Sus scrofa: one gene and its partners. The protein of the gene in region 1 interacts with the protein of each later gene in a pairwise test. Links are inferred from orthologs where the notes say so. Each region holds a gene or a part of one and is shown in the gene's direction. Other genes may lie near its edges. The genes, in order: RUFY1, DIEXF and RAB39B.

Region 1 (3,648 bases):
ATGGCTTTTTGGTATTTTTTTAAAGGTAATACATGGTAAAACAAAACAAACCTTACAAAAGAACACTCAGTGTAGAGTAAGTGCTCCTTCCCTAAAACTGTCCTCAATCCTACTGTATTTCAGAGTGTCTGTGCACGACATAGCATGACGTAGTATGTGCCTTCATCTCTACCCTCACAGTTTTCACACAAACCACAGGACATACACCCACACAAGGTTCTACATTGTGCTTTTTAGACTGATTCCTCCTCCTCCTCAAGGTTGAATAACAAAAGTCACTGAAGAAGGCAGTCCTTTTTAAAATTTGTTTTATTGAGGTTTAGTTGATTTACAGTGGTGTGTTAATTTCTGCTATAGAGCACTGACTCAGTTATATATACACACACACACACACTCTTTTTCATATTCTTTTCCATTATGGTATTTCACAGGATATTGAATGTAATTCCTTGTGCTACACAGCAGGACCTTGTTGTTTATCCATGAAGAAGGCATTCTTTAATTTTAAAATTATTTAGATATATATTTGCTATTAAGTAGGTGGTATGTATTATGACTTTCTCCATTGTTTTTCATGGCAAATTTTATTTTTCATGTATCAGAACACCCCTGTACAAATGATATAGTTCCTTCCAAAATGAAACACAAATAACTTTTTCATTTCACATTGCTGAACTCCTTAGGTTAGCCTTTGAGATAAGGGAAAATCCTGAAAATTAGGAAAGTGATGGTTTTCTTGTCAGTACAGAATAATACTATATCATAAGATCTTTCGAGACACCAAGGGCTATTCAAAACAAACTCAAATTTATAAAAAATCCAGTCACTTCTCTATAACTCAGAACCAGAACCCCCCGCCACATACACACACAAAAAGTCTATAGAACTCACTCCCTGGAGTACCCGTTGTGGCTTAGTGGAAATGAATCTGACTAGTATCCATGAGGATGCAGGTTCAAACCCTGGCCTTGCCCAATGGGTTGGCTCGGATCTGACATTGCTGCGGCTATGGCATACACTAGTGGCTACAGCTCTGATCGGACCCCTACCCTGGGAACCTCTATGTGGCACCGGTGCGGCCCTACAAATAATAAAAGAAAAAAACTCACTCCCTGACCTGAATACCAATTGTCTATACCAAAGGTTACAACAAATTTGCAACCCTCTAAGATGTCTATGGCTCATAGTTGCATTTTTTTTTCCTATCTTGCACAGTATAAAAGCACTTAAAATTCGCAGAAGAAATGCTAGAAGACTCTGAACGTGAAAAGCTGCTTGACAGCTGTAATAACTACAAACTAAAACATTATCCTTACCCCACCCCCACCCCACCCCAATCCCAAGTAGCAAACATTTAAAAGACTGAATGAGCTAGCGGCTGCGGAGAGGTGCGCGCCGGGCCGGGTCTTGTTTTTCCTGCCAGGACTGTTAAGGTTTATGGTCTACATTTTTAAATTATAGAGTGGCAATTTCCAGGGCTTGAGAGGACACTTCGTAAGCATTTGCTATGAGTATTTGTATTGATTGCAGACTTTTTTACTCTCAAAGCGACGATTGATGGAGTTGAAATGGGAAAGCAGCAGAGTTCATTTAATGCCAACGGTTTCATTTACAAAACGTGTGTAGAACTCGTAATTATCCACTAATTGTGGACGAAAGATGGGCAACGAGAAGCTGAGTCTGGAACTAAGGGGCGTAGGCTTCCCCGAAGACACCGACTATCACAGTCGGACGAAAGGGCTGACCCACTAAGCCGTCCCGACGGTGTGCAGACTAACCCGACCCATCCCGAAAACTGCCACCCACTGTCCCGGAACAGAGGAGTAAACATGGCGCCCGCAAACTCTGAGGGCGTGAGCTGAATGCCCCCAACAGGAATGAGAGTGGGTGGAGCGCTTTCCCGGCACGCCTTCCGGCTTGGGGCAGGGCTTCCTAGAGTTTCAGCCTTTTCATTGGTGGGAATTGTGCGTGGGAGAGACCAATCGCGGAGAATCTTGGTAAGGGCCGTCGCCGTAGCAACACGCGGAGCTACCTGGGAGAGGCCTCTGGAGTCTGACCCACAGTCCTAGCTACCAAGGTGCGGCTTTGACCTCCCTGGGTCAGAGACCGGCTGGCTGCTAACCCCAGTTAATCCGCACATCCCGCGCTTGGAGCAGACCGCCTGGACTGTCTTCCCTTCATTGTCCCGCATGTACCTTCCTCGCCGGAACAACACTCAGACCACTAACGAAGCTGTCCCTGCTTCTTGCCCTACAGCTTCCAAGAGCCAGATGATGGAGGAGCGTGCCAACCTGATGCACATGATGAAACTCAGCATCAAGGTCTTGCTCCAGTCTGCCCTGAGCCTGGGCCGCAGCCTGGATGCCGACCATGCCCCTTTGCAGCAGTTCTTTGTAGTGATGGAGCACTGCCTCAAACATGGGCTGAAAGGTGAGCCTTAGGGGGGCGTTTGGGGGGCGTGGAAATTCGGGCTAGCTGTTTGCTCAGTGTGTATTCATCAAAGCCAAACATTGTTTTGGGTGCTGGGATGACAGCAGCGCACAAAACAAGAGGGGACATTCTAGAGCAGCGCTGTCCAAATGAAATGCCATGCAAGCCGCATATGCGATGTCTAATGTTCTAGTAGCCACGTTTAAAAAAAAAGGGCGAAAACAGATGAAATTAGTTTTAATAACACATGTTATTGAACCCAATATAGACAAAATATTATCATTTTGACACATAATCAGCATACACCTTACTAATGAGAAATTACATTCTTTTCCATACTAAGGCTTAAAATCCACCATGTGTTCTACACTTACAGCACCTCTCCATTGCACTGGCTGCAGTTGAGGTTCTCAGTGGCGCTTGTGGCTAGTAACTGCCTTGGACAGCACAGTTCTAGAAGAGGAGACAGACAATAAATTCGGAAGCAAACATAATTACAGAGTGCTACCAATTCACGGAAGCAAAATGGGTCAAATGATAGGAAATCAAGGGAAAAACCTTTCGGCTAGAGCGAGAGAGGAAAGTCTTCCTGGGGGGAAATGTGAGCTGAGACTCACTGTGTTTGAGACTCATTGAGAAATGTGAGAAAGGAGTCAGTCATGCAAAAGATTTGGGGCAAGAGCCTTTCTAGAAAAACAAAACAAAACAAAACAGGCACAAGTACCTGAGAGGGACTAAACTTGCTTTGCAGAAGACACCAGGTGACTAAAGTGGGCTGAGAAGGAGGAGGGGAGGTAAGTCAGGGAAGTTGGGGTGGGCTGGATCACATAGGTTTTTATAGGTCAGGTGAGGAGTCGGATATTATTCCAAGGGTATTGGAAGGATTTTCAGCAAGGAAAAAACAAGATCTGACTTAGGGTGTTTTTTTTGGGGGGCGGGGTTGTCTTCTTTTAGTTTTTTTTTTTTTTTTAACCTTGACCTATGTGGAGAACAGATTGCAAAGGTGGAGAGGTGACAATATTAAGAGCAGGGACCCCCATTAGGAGGTTATTACAGCAGTTCAGATGAAAAATGGTGATGATTGAAATCAAGCCTTGATTTTGGCATCAGGTAGGAGAGAGAAACGGGAAGGATTTCACAGGTCATCATTTGAGCTGGTATTTTATTTCATGGATAATAAATACTTGGGAGAAGGCATAGTGAGTAGATCAGAGATAC
Region 2 (4,212 bases), on another chromosome or scaffold:
GGATACTGCGGTCTTTAAGGAGCACACACCTTTCTGGAGTGTTAAGTCCAGTTGGTGTTTGTTTTTTCTCTTTGTTTCTTGAGGTTATTATTTGCTTACATTAAAATGTACCTGTTTTATTTTATTATTTTATTTTATTTTGCTTTTTAGGCCCAAACCTGCAGCATATGGACGTTCCCAGGCTAGGCGGAGCTGCAGCCGCTGGCCTAGCCACAGCCAAAATGTACCAATTTCAAACGTACTGTTTTCTTAATTATACAAGGTGTAACTATCACCATGATCAAGATATAGAACAGTTACTACCCCCCACCCCACCCCTGCCCTTTCTTTTTCTTTTTAAGGGCTGCACCTGCCATGGAAGTTCCCAGGCTAGGGGTCAAATTAGAGCTGTAACTGCCAGCCTACACCACAGCCACACCGGATCAGAGCTGCACCTGTGAACTACATGGCAAATGTTTAACCCACTGAAGGAAGCCAGCGATCAAACCTGCATCCTCACGGAGACCATGTTAGGTCCTTAATCCGCGGGGCCACAGTGGAAGCTCCAGTTACTTCCCCTTTGAAAGTGCTCCGTCCGGCTTCGAGTTCGGTCTTGGGACACCTGATTGGGCTTTACTGCTTTCTCTAACACCGTCTCTCTGGGTGACTTAGGAAATCACTTTACCTCTCCGGATGGAGTTCTGCTCTAGTACCATGAAAAATGTCGGAATAGATGAGTTACCGGGGATCCTGCAATACTTCAGTAAAATGAGGGGAAGGGGAAGGGCAAGGGTGCGAATCTCAGCCTTGCCTCCCCACACCTGTGGCACATCCTAGGGGAAAAAACCTGTGGTCGCAGCAGACTTGGGTTTCCAGCTCCTCTTTCGCTCGTGTGCACGTAACCCTTTCTAAGCATCCCTTTTCTCATTTAAAATAGCAGGCTTTTGAACAAGACCTATTTGTCAACTGCTGTGAGGAGTCTTGAGATGCTCCCGCACCCTTAAAGGCTGGTTGCGTTTTTATTGTGGCATAATATAAAGGCACTGCATTCAACCACCTCCACTACTACACGTTTACGCAGGCCGATTCTCACAACCGAAAGTGACGAGCAAAGTACCACGCACCTTTGTACCCACCTGGGGAAGCCGAAGCCTGTCCGCCTTCCTTCTGGGGCTCAGAGAAAAAATGGGCGTGCGTACATGTGCTTCCAAAGAGCGTCGCCAGGGGGCGGAATGGAAACCAGGAAGTTTTAACGCCTGTCGTACAAGCGCGACGTAAAGCGGGCCTGCTTTATGGCACGCTGCTTCTGCCGTAAAGCGCTGCCGGCGAGCCCGCGTGGGTCGGTTGGCGAGATTACTTCCAGGTGAAAAGCGGGCCCCTTGGAAGGGGGCGAAGTTGTGATCGCCATGGGCAAACGCGGGAGCCGGAGCCAGAGCCAGCTGATCAACACTCTGACTAAGAAGCAGAAGAAGCATCTCCGCGATTTCGGCGAGGAGCATCCCTTCTACGACAGGTGGGAGGGGCGCGGCTGGGGCCAGGGCAGCCGGCGTCTTCTCCCGCTGGGAGCCCGCGTGCTTTTCGGCGCTCGGTCCGCGGGTCCCCGGGACGGGGACGGGGACGGGGACGGGGCAGCTCCCGCCGCTTCCTGCGCGCCCCGCGCCGGCCTTGGTCGGCTGGGAAGACTGGCGGCTTCCGCCTGAGATGCGGTTCTTCACGGGTCTAACTTTGAGCTGATAACTCTATGCTAGACCGCACGCCTCCTTATGGGGCTGGTTTTCTGAATTTGTGTGTGTGCGTGCTTTCCAAGGATTGGTCCCACACGTGGGACCTTCGACATCACCGATCAATTCAATGACAGTGACGGAACTGATGTCTCGGTAGTTGTGGGTTCCTCTGTAAGTGTCCAGACTCTCAGTTATGATCCTACTTTAGTGCTCATCCCACCACTTTAGGCCGCTTTATCAACAATTAGAGGGACTTGCTGGAAGTGGTGAACCCCGAAGACTTTTATTTGACAGTTTTCCCATTTTTTGGATGAGAGCCAGGTATTGTGTGACTGCTATTTGTCATGTGACCTTGTTAAACTTTTTTTTTTTTATCGATTATTTTCTATTTGGCACATTCGTACAATCCTCGTCCCAGTACCTACGGAGTTTTTACGTGACTGTAGTTATGATGTGTTTATAATGTCTGCCATGTTCACTTAAAGTCCTATCTTTAGACATTTTTATTAATTGCCGAATACTAGTAGTTAAGAGTTTAACATTGCCTATTTCTTCTCAGGGTTTCCAGAAAGGAAGCAAAACCACAGATTTGTCACCTGGTAATGCTTTATGCCTTCTTTATGATAACTGATTCTGGGTTGTTACTTTTAAGGTTCTATATAATAGTACAGTTTGCCTGCACTTGCGTTCTTTTCGATTTTAGATGTAAGCTTTTATTTTGGTAATGTTGCTTAGCTTTGAATGCAGATGTTGGTTAAAATGCCATTGTGATAACTAATACAGTACCCAAAGTTTGACGTTGTCGTGAGAGATTAGCTTGTTAGGACCTGTTAAGCAGAGGGCTCTTGGTGAGTCTTAAGAGGGGAATGCCTTGTTTGCTTAACATACAATAGCGTGCGAAGTCATCAAAGGTCTTATTACCACAAATGCAGAAAAAAACTACTGCATTTTTTGTTGCAATTTTTCCTCTTGCTCCTTTAAATGTGCCAAATATCTGACACATAGGTTAATACAGACAACCTAAGCTCTGTTTTTAGACTTTCTCCTTGTGCAAGATTAGCAATTCAAAGAAGATGAAGAGCTTCTAGAATCATAGCTAGATTAGCTATCAAATAAATTTGGTGCTAGGCTTGGTTGAATAGATAAGATTGCATATTTGCAGAGAAGCTAATTTTTATTTAGAAAAGTCTCAGCCTCTTGCACTGTGGGCCTGATGGTCGTCATGGAGTAGCAACGAGAACAATATGAATTTTGTTTTTAAAATCCCCATTTTCCTTTTAGTCAGAGAGTTCAGATTCTTCGAGTTCTGAAAGTGAAGCGGAGAGTGAACCAGAACAAGTTTCTGGTTATCACAGACTTCTCGCTACGTTAAAGAGTGTTTCCAAGGAGGAGGAGGAGGAGGAGGAAGAGGAAGAAGAGGAAGAAGAGGAGGAAGAAGGCAGTGTTGTAGATGAGGCAGAAATGGATCTTGAAGAAGGTGATGGCGACGTGAGTGCGGAGGAAGACCTGGCAGCAGAGTCTGCAGACACGCGCGAGAGTGAGTGTCTTTGCTGGGCTCCTCTTTGCCAGGACCACAGACAGCTGGCCCCGTGGGCGCGGCACCCTGTCCTGCGTGAGCCGGGTGAAAACACACGGACCCAAAGCAGAGATTCTTAACCCTGCTGGGCTCGGTGATACCTTTGAGACTCTGATGAAAACCTAGGGCTCTCTGGCCAGAAAAATGCAGAAATGACATTTTTGCTTATGATTTCCAGGACTTCATCAATCCTAGTTCAAGTTCCCCTGATTGAGAGGAAAGAGAACATAATTCTGTTTTTGTGATGGTCTCAAATTTTTTAAAGAGATTATTGTTCCTCCCATAGGGAAACCAAGTTTACGGTAAGAGCGATACAATATACAAAACTTTTTAAGCAGCAGATTCGAATGGAATGGCTAGGTCTAAGGTGTTGAAGGGACATGAAGTGGTCCCACCATGCTGATGGGATACCTGAGGGAAGACCCCAGGGAAGCACTGGGACTGAAAAGCTTAAAGGACCATGTCACACCCAGACTTTTAAGTGACTTTTCACCTTTAGATCAACTTTATTGAGGTGTGATTTGCATACAGTAAAGTGTGACCATCTCAAGTATGTAATTTGATGAGTTTTGACAAATGTGTATATATTACCAGCACCAGGACAAAATGAAGAACCTTTCCAACACCTACAGAAATCTCTTCTGGTGCTTTTACAGCCGGTTTCCCAGGCCTGGCGTCAGGCAAGCACTGACCTGCTTTTTTCACTGTCGATGAGTTTTGCCTGTTCTGTCTAATTCATATGAATGGAAGTATACAGGAAGCACTCTTTTGTATCTGGCTTCTTGGCTTCTCATCCAATGTGATTCCTGTATTAGGAGTTTATTTCTTTTTATTATTGGAGTAGCATTCTATTGTCTGATTATACCCTGGTAACTTTTTATATTCTATTATCTAAATGCTGCTTTGCCTTTCTGAAATATAGAAAGTATTTTT
Region 3 (4,337 bases), on another chromosome or scaffold:
AGAAACTGACAAGCTGATTTTAAAATTTATATGGAACTGAAAGGGGACCCAAATAGCCAAAAACAATCTTGCAAAAGAAGAACACAGTAGGAGAATTCATACTTCCGGATTTTTAAACTTACTCCAAATAATCAAGACAATGTGGTACTGGCATAAGACCTGACATAGTCCAAAGGAATGAAATTGAAAGTCCAGAAATAAACCAGTCTATGGTAAACTGATTTTCAACAAGGGTGCCAAAATCATCAATGGGAAAAGAATCGTCTTTCCAACGAATAGTGATTAGACAACTAGGTATCCACATGCAAAAGAATGCAGCTGGACCTCTACCTCACAGCATATATAAAAATTAACATAAAATGGATCACAGATTAAGTGTATGAGCTAAAACTACAAAGCTCTTAGAAGAATGCAGAGGAGTAAATCTTCACAAACTTGAATCTGGCAAAATATTCTTACACATGACACCAGAAGCACAAGTAACAAAAGAAAAAAATAGATAATCTTTACTTCATCAACATTGAAAACTTTGTGCTTCAAAGAACACCCTTAAGAAAGTTCAAAAAGGACACAGAGAATGGGAGAAAATATTTACAAATCACGTATCTGAGAAGGGACTTATACCTACAATGTGTAAAGAATTCTTACAAGTCAATAATAAAAAGATAAATAATCCAGTTTAAAAATAGGCACTGTGGCACAATGGGATCTGCAGCGTCTTGAAAGCACTGGGACAAAAGATCCATCCCCTGCCGGGCACAGTGGGTCAAGGGTCCCGCCTCGCTGCCGCTGCAACTTAGATTGAAACTAGGCTGGCGTCTGATCCCGGGCTTGGGAACTCCATATGCCTCGGGCCGGCCAAAAAAGAAAAAAGTTAAAATAAATAAATCAATAAATAAAAATGGGCAGAGGGTCAGAGTGTACCTTTCTCCAAGGAAGATATGTAAATGGCCAATAAGAATGTGAAAACATGCACATTCACTAGTCTTCAGGGAAATGTGAATCAAAACCACAATCAGCTATCACTTCATACCCACTAAGATGTCTAGAACCAAAAAGTTAGAAAATAACAAGCGTTGGGAGAAGACGGGGAACACACGTCTTCCCTGGCGCAGCCTCCGTGGAAAACAGTCTGGCATTTCTTCAAGGGACTTAACATAGAGCTACCCCAGGACACAGGAATGCCGCTCTTAGGTTTAAACCTGAAAAAGTGCAAAGCATGAATTCAAACAAAAACTTGTCCAAGAATCTTCACAATAGCCAAAAGGCAGAAACAATCCAATCGTCCATCGATAGAAAAATGGATAAACAAAACGTAGTATGTCACACAAGGGAAAATTATTCAGTCATAAAAAGGAATGCGGGGTTCCCACTGTGGCTCAGAAGAAATGAATCTGAACAGCATCCATGAGGATGCAGGTTTGATCCCAGGCCTCGCTCAGTGGGTTAAGGATCCGGCGTTGCCGTGAACTGTGGCACAGGCCAGCAGCTGCAGCTCAGACTTGACCCCTAGCCTGGGAACCTCCATATGCCGAGGGTGTGACCCTAAAAAGATAAAAATAAATAAAGAGGAATGAAGTCCTGATACATGTTAGGAGATGTGGATGAACCTCTAAAACACGCTAAGGGAAAGAAGCCAGTTACGAAAGTCCACACATTGAATGATCCCATTAACTACATCAGACTGGCAAGTATTATGAAAGAGTATCACATATGATGCTTGAAATAATGCCAAAAATAGTCTTTTCACGCATTGCCGCCTAGAATTTAAATTTAGCTAAATATTTTTGCCAAGCATAATGCCCATATTTATAGTATTTTAAATATTTATACTCTTTGACTTCCTGGTCTTTCTTGCATGTCATAGAGATAATATATATGTGACTACACTTGAGAGATAATTGCAGCAAAAGGAAAAGGGAACGGGAAAAATGTCTGTGATGCTCTATCGATTGCAAAAAGCAAGTGTCAAAGTAATGATCCGATGTGACACAATTTTTGTAAAATCAAACAGCAGTAAATGTATATATGTATGTATCTTTTCATAGAAATACACGTGGAAGAATATATACCAAACGGTTAATATCTTTGGGGAGGTAGGCAGCAGATAATTATAGACTTTCGTTTTTGTGTATATTGTTGTATTGTTTCGTTAGTGTTAATGAAGGCTTATTAACTTTTGCAATTTGAAAGACAGAGAATACTTCTAATTTAAAAAGAAAGGATGAGTGGAGGAACGCGAAAGGAAAGGACTGAGCTGTTTTCGAGGCCATTTCTGTGTGCGCTCCTCTTACAGACAGTGCGGCCCTTGGAGTCGCCTCTACATGGAGAATTACAGTAGCCCTGTTGTCAGTGATGAGTCAGAGTGCGTGGTGCTGATGCTGCTGCCATTTCATCACCTCTGCGAGCGCAGCATCCATCCCTCTGCTCTCTCTGCTCCTGGGCCTACCTCGCCTCAGGCTTCCAGGCCAACGATGCGCTCGCGGCCGATCTAGATCAGGACCCAGCCGCACTCTCCGAGGCCTCGGCCGGGCGCCCCGTCTCGCCGCGCACGGCCCGGGGCACGGAGACCTGCCGAGCCCAGCCATGGAGGCCATCTGGCTGTACCAGTTCCGGCTCATTGTCATCGGGGATTCCACGGTGGGCAAGTCCTGCCTGATCCGCCGCTTCACCGAGGGCCGCTTTGCCCAGGTTTCAGACCCTACAGTGGGGGTGGATTTTTTCTCCCGTCTGGTGGAGATCGAGCCAGGAAAACGCATCAAGCTCCAGATCTGGGATACTGCGGGTCAAGAGAGGTTCAGGTGGGAGCGCAGCCTGGGCCCTCGAGCAGTGGGAGGGTCTTTGGGGCTTGCACAGAGACCTGGAGGAAAGAGGACTTCCTGGTCTTGGTCCGGGGGCGGAGGATGGGTGCCCTAAGGGACAAAACCCCGGGGTCTGAGGGTTTCTGCTCAAGCCCACCTTCAGCTAGCTGGGAGTTCAGCGCAGGGAAAGATGTGCCGTAGCAGAGAAGGCCAGTCAATAGTACACCCAAACTCCACCAAGCTGCCCCTGGATGACTAATAAACTAGCTGGAGGCAATCTCTGCAGTTCATCAGTTTCCATCCCCGGGCTACATTTCAGAAATGTTCCCAGGTCATCCTAACATAACTGACAGACATAGAGATAAAGAGAGCTAGATATAAATATAGACACACACAGATACTGATGGTCCAGTCCTTCTTGCAAGCAGCACGCATTCAATGATCAGCCACTATATGCCAGACAGTGCACTTGTTTCTGGGGAAACAGCCTGAGGAAACTCATGCAAGGGGATGATGCCATGTAAACAAACAGGCACAGACAGTTCCCTCTTGGAACTTCTGTGCTAGCATGGGGCGGGGAGCAGATCAGCAATTACACAAAATGAGTGCCCCGTTCATATGTGTGTGCCCGCTGCCTCCGTAACACTTAGCACATATTGAAAAATCAACGAGCAGGTTTAATTTTCTCTTAACAATCCTTTGCTTCCCTTTGTGGTATTATGTCCTTTGTGATCATACGTGTGAACACAGATGAGGGTAGGCTAACGGAGAAGATGGGGCCTGATGAGTAAGATTACCAAAGCAAAGACAGGTGCGCGAGAGAGCGGGGCACACAGAAAACTTTGAGCCAAAGCCAGGTAGAGCAACAGGAACTAGATCAAGAGGATGCAATAGCTCATGTTTGGGATCATTCCTTCACTTACCTACTGAACACTAACTGAGCATAGAAGATGCTGGGTAGGCGGTTGACGAGGGACTTGGGAGAAAAGCAAATTTCAAACTTGAGTTGTCTCCACCTCCCCACCTGCGCAGACAGCCTCGTACATGTTCCCTTTGAACTTGTGACTGCATTTCTCATACTCCAAGTGAAGAACGGTATCTTTCCTGTTTGTTGGAATTTCTTTCTGTATGGACAGGCTTTTCATAGCCACTGATTATGATTTATTGGGTGATATTTCCAACATTTATTCATATATTAAGAACAGTAATCCTTTTCTGTCACGGATATTGTAAAATATTTCCCCAGTTTTGCATTTGTCCTTTAAGTTTGTTTAGGACAATTTTTATGTATGGAAGGCTTTAATTTATGTAGCCTTATGTTGTACTTACAAAGGGCTTGGCAACTTTCTAAATATTCACAAAACCTTAATCATGTATTTCGAGTTTTGACCACAGCTTGCTTAGTGATTTCTTAAACCAAGCTGTTCATGAATCCAAGTATTTGTCCATGTCGAATTTTCTGCTACCCCTACAATTCTCCATGAATCTTCAAACATAAGGGAATTAGGAATGCTTTCAGTTTCCAGGGCTGATTTG

The links.
Region 2: the proteins of RUFY1 (region 1) and DIEXF interact in binary tests that used the Homo sapiens proteins (3 or more experiments, as listed by UniProt). The link is inferred for Sus scrofa from reciprocal best matches to the Homo sapiens genes RUFY1 and UTP25.
Region 3: the proteins of RUFY1 (region 1) and RAB39B interact in binary tests that used the Homo sapiens proteins (3 or more experiments, as listed by UniProt). The two-hybrid records come from large-scale screens. The link is inferred for Sus scrofa from reciprocal best matches to the Homo sapiens genes RUFY1 and RAB39B.

What each region holds. Positions count from the first base shown.
Region 1 is NC_010444.4:79,014,977-79,018,624, reverse strand, and holds part of RUFY1 (RUN and FYVE domain-containing protein 1), read left to right. Parts: intron 1-1,442; exon of another isoform or gene 1,443-2,077; intron 2,078-2,256; coding exon 2,257-2,430; intron 2,431-3,648. UniProt on the Homo sapiens protein: Activating adapter involved in cargo sorting from early/recycling endosomes. Regulates retrieval of proteins from endosomes to the trans-Golgi network through interaction with the dynein-dynactin complex.
Region 2 is NC_010451.4:133,138,323-133,142,534, reverse strand, and holds the start of DIEXF (digestive organ expansion factor homolog), read left to right. Parts: upstream 1-1,276; 5' UTR 1,277-1,385; coding exon 1,386-1,492; intron 1,493-2,262; coding exon 2,263-2,302; intron 2,303-2,984; coding exon 2,985-3,240; intron 3,241-4,212. UniProt on the Homo sapiens protein: Component of the ribosomal small subunit processome for the biogenesis of ribosomes, functions in pre-ribosomal RNA (pre-rRNA) processing. Essential for embryonic development in part through the regulation of p53 pathway.
Region 3 is NC_010461.5:125,525,426-125,529,762, reverse strand, and holds the start of RAB39B (ras-related protein Rab-39B), read left to right. Parts: upstream 1-1,509; 5' UTR 1,510-2,586; coding exon 2,587-2,801; intron 2,802-4,337. UniProt on the Homo sapiens protein: The small GTPases Rab are key regulators of intracellular membrane trafficking, from the formation of transport vesicles to their fusion with membranes.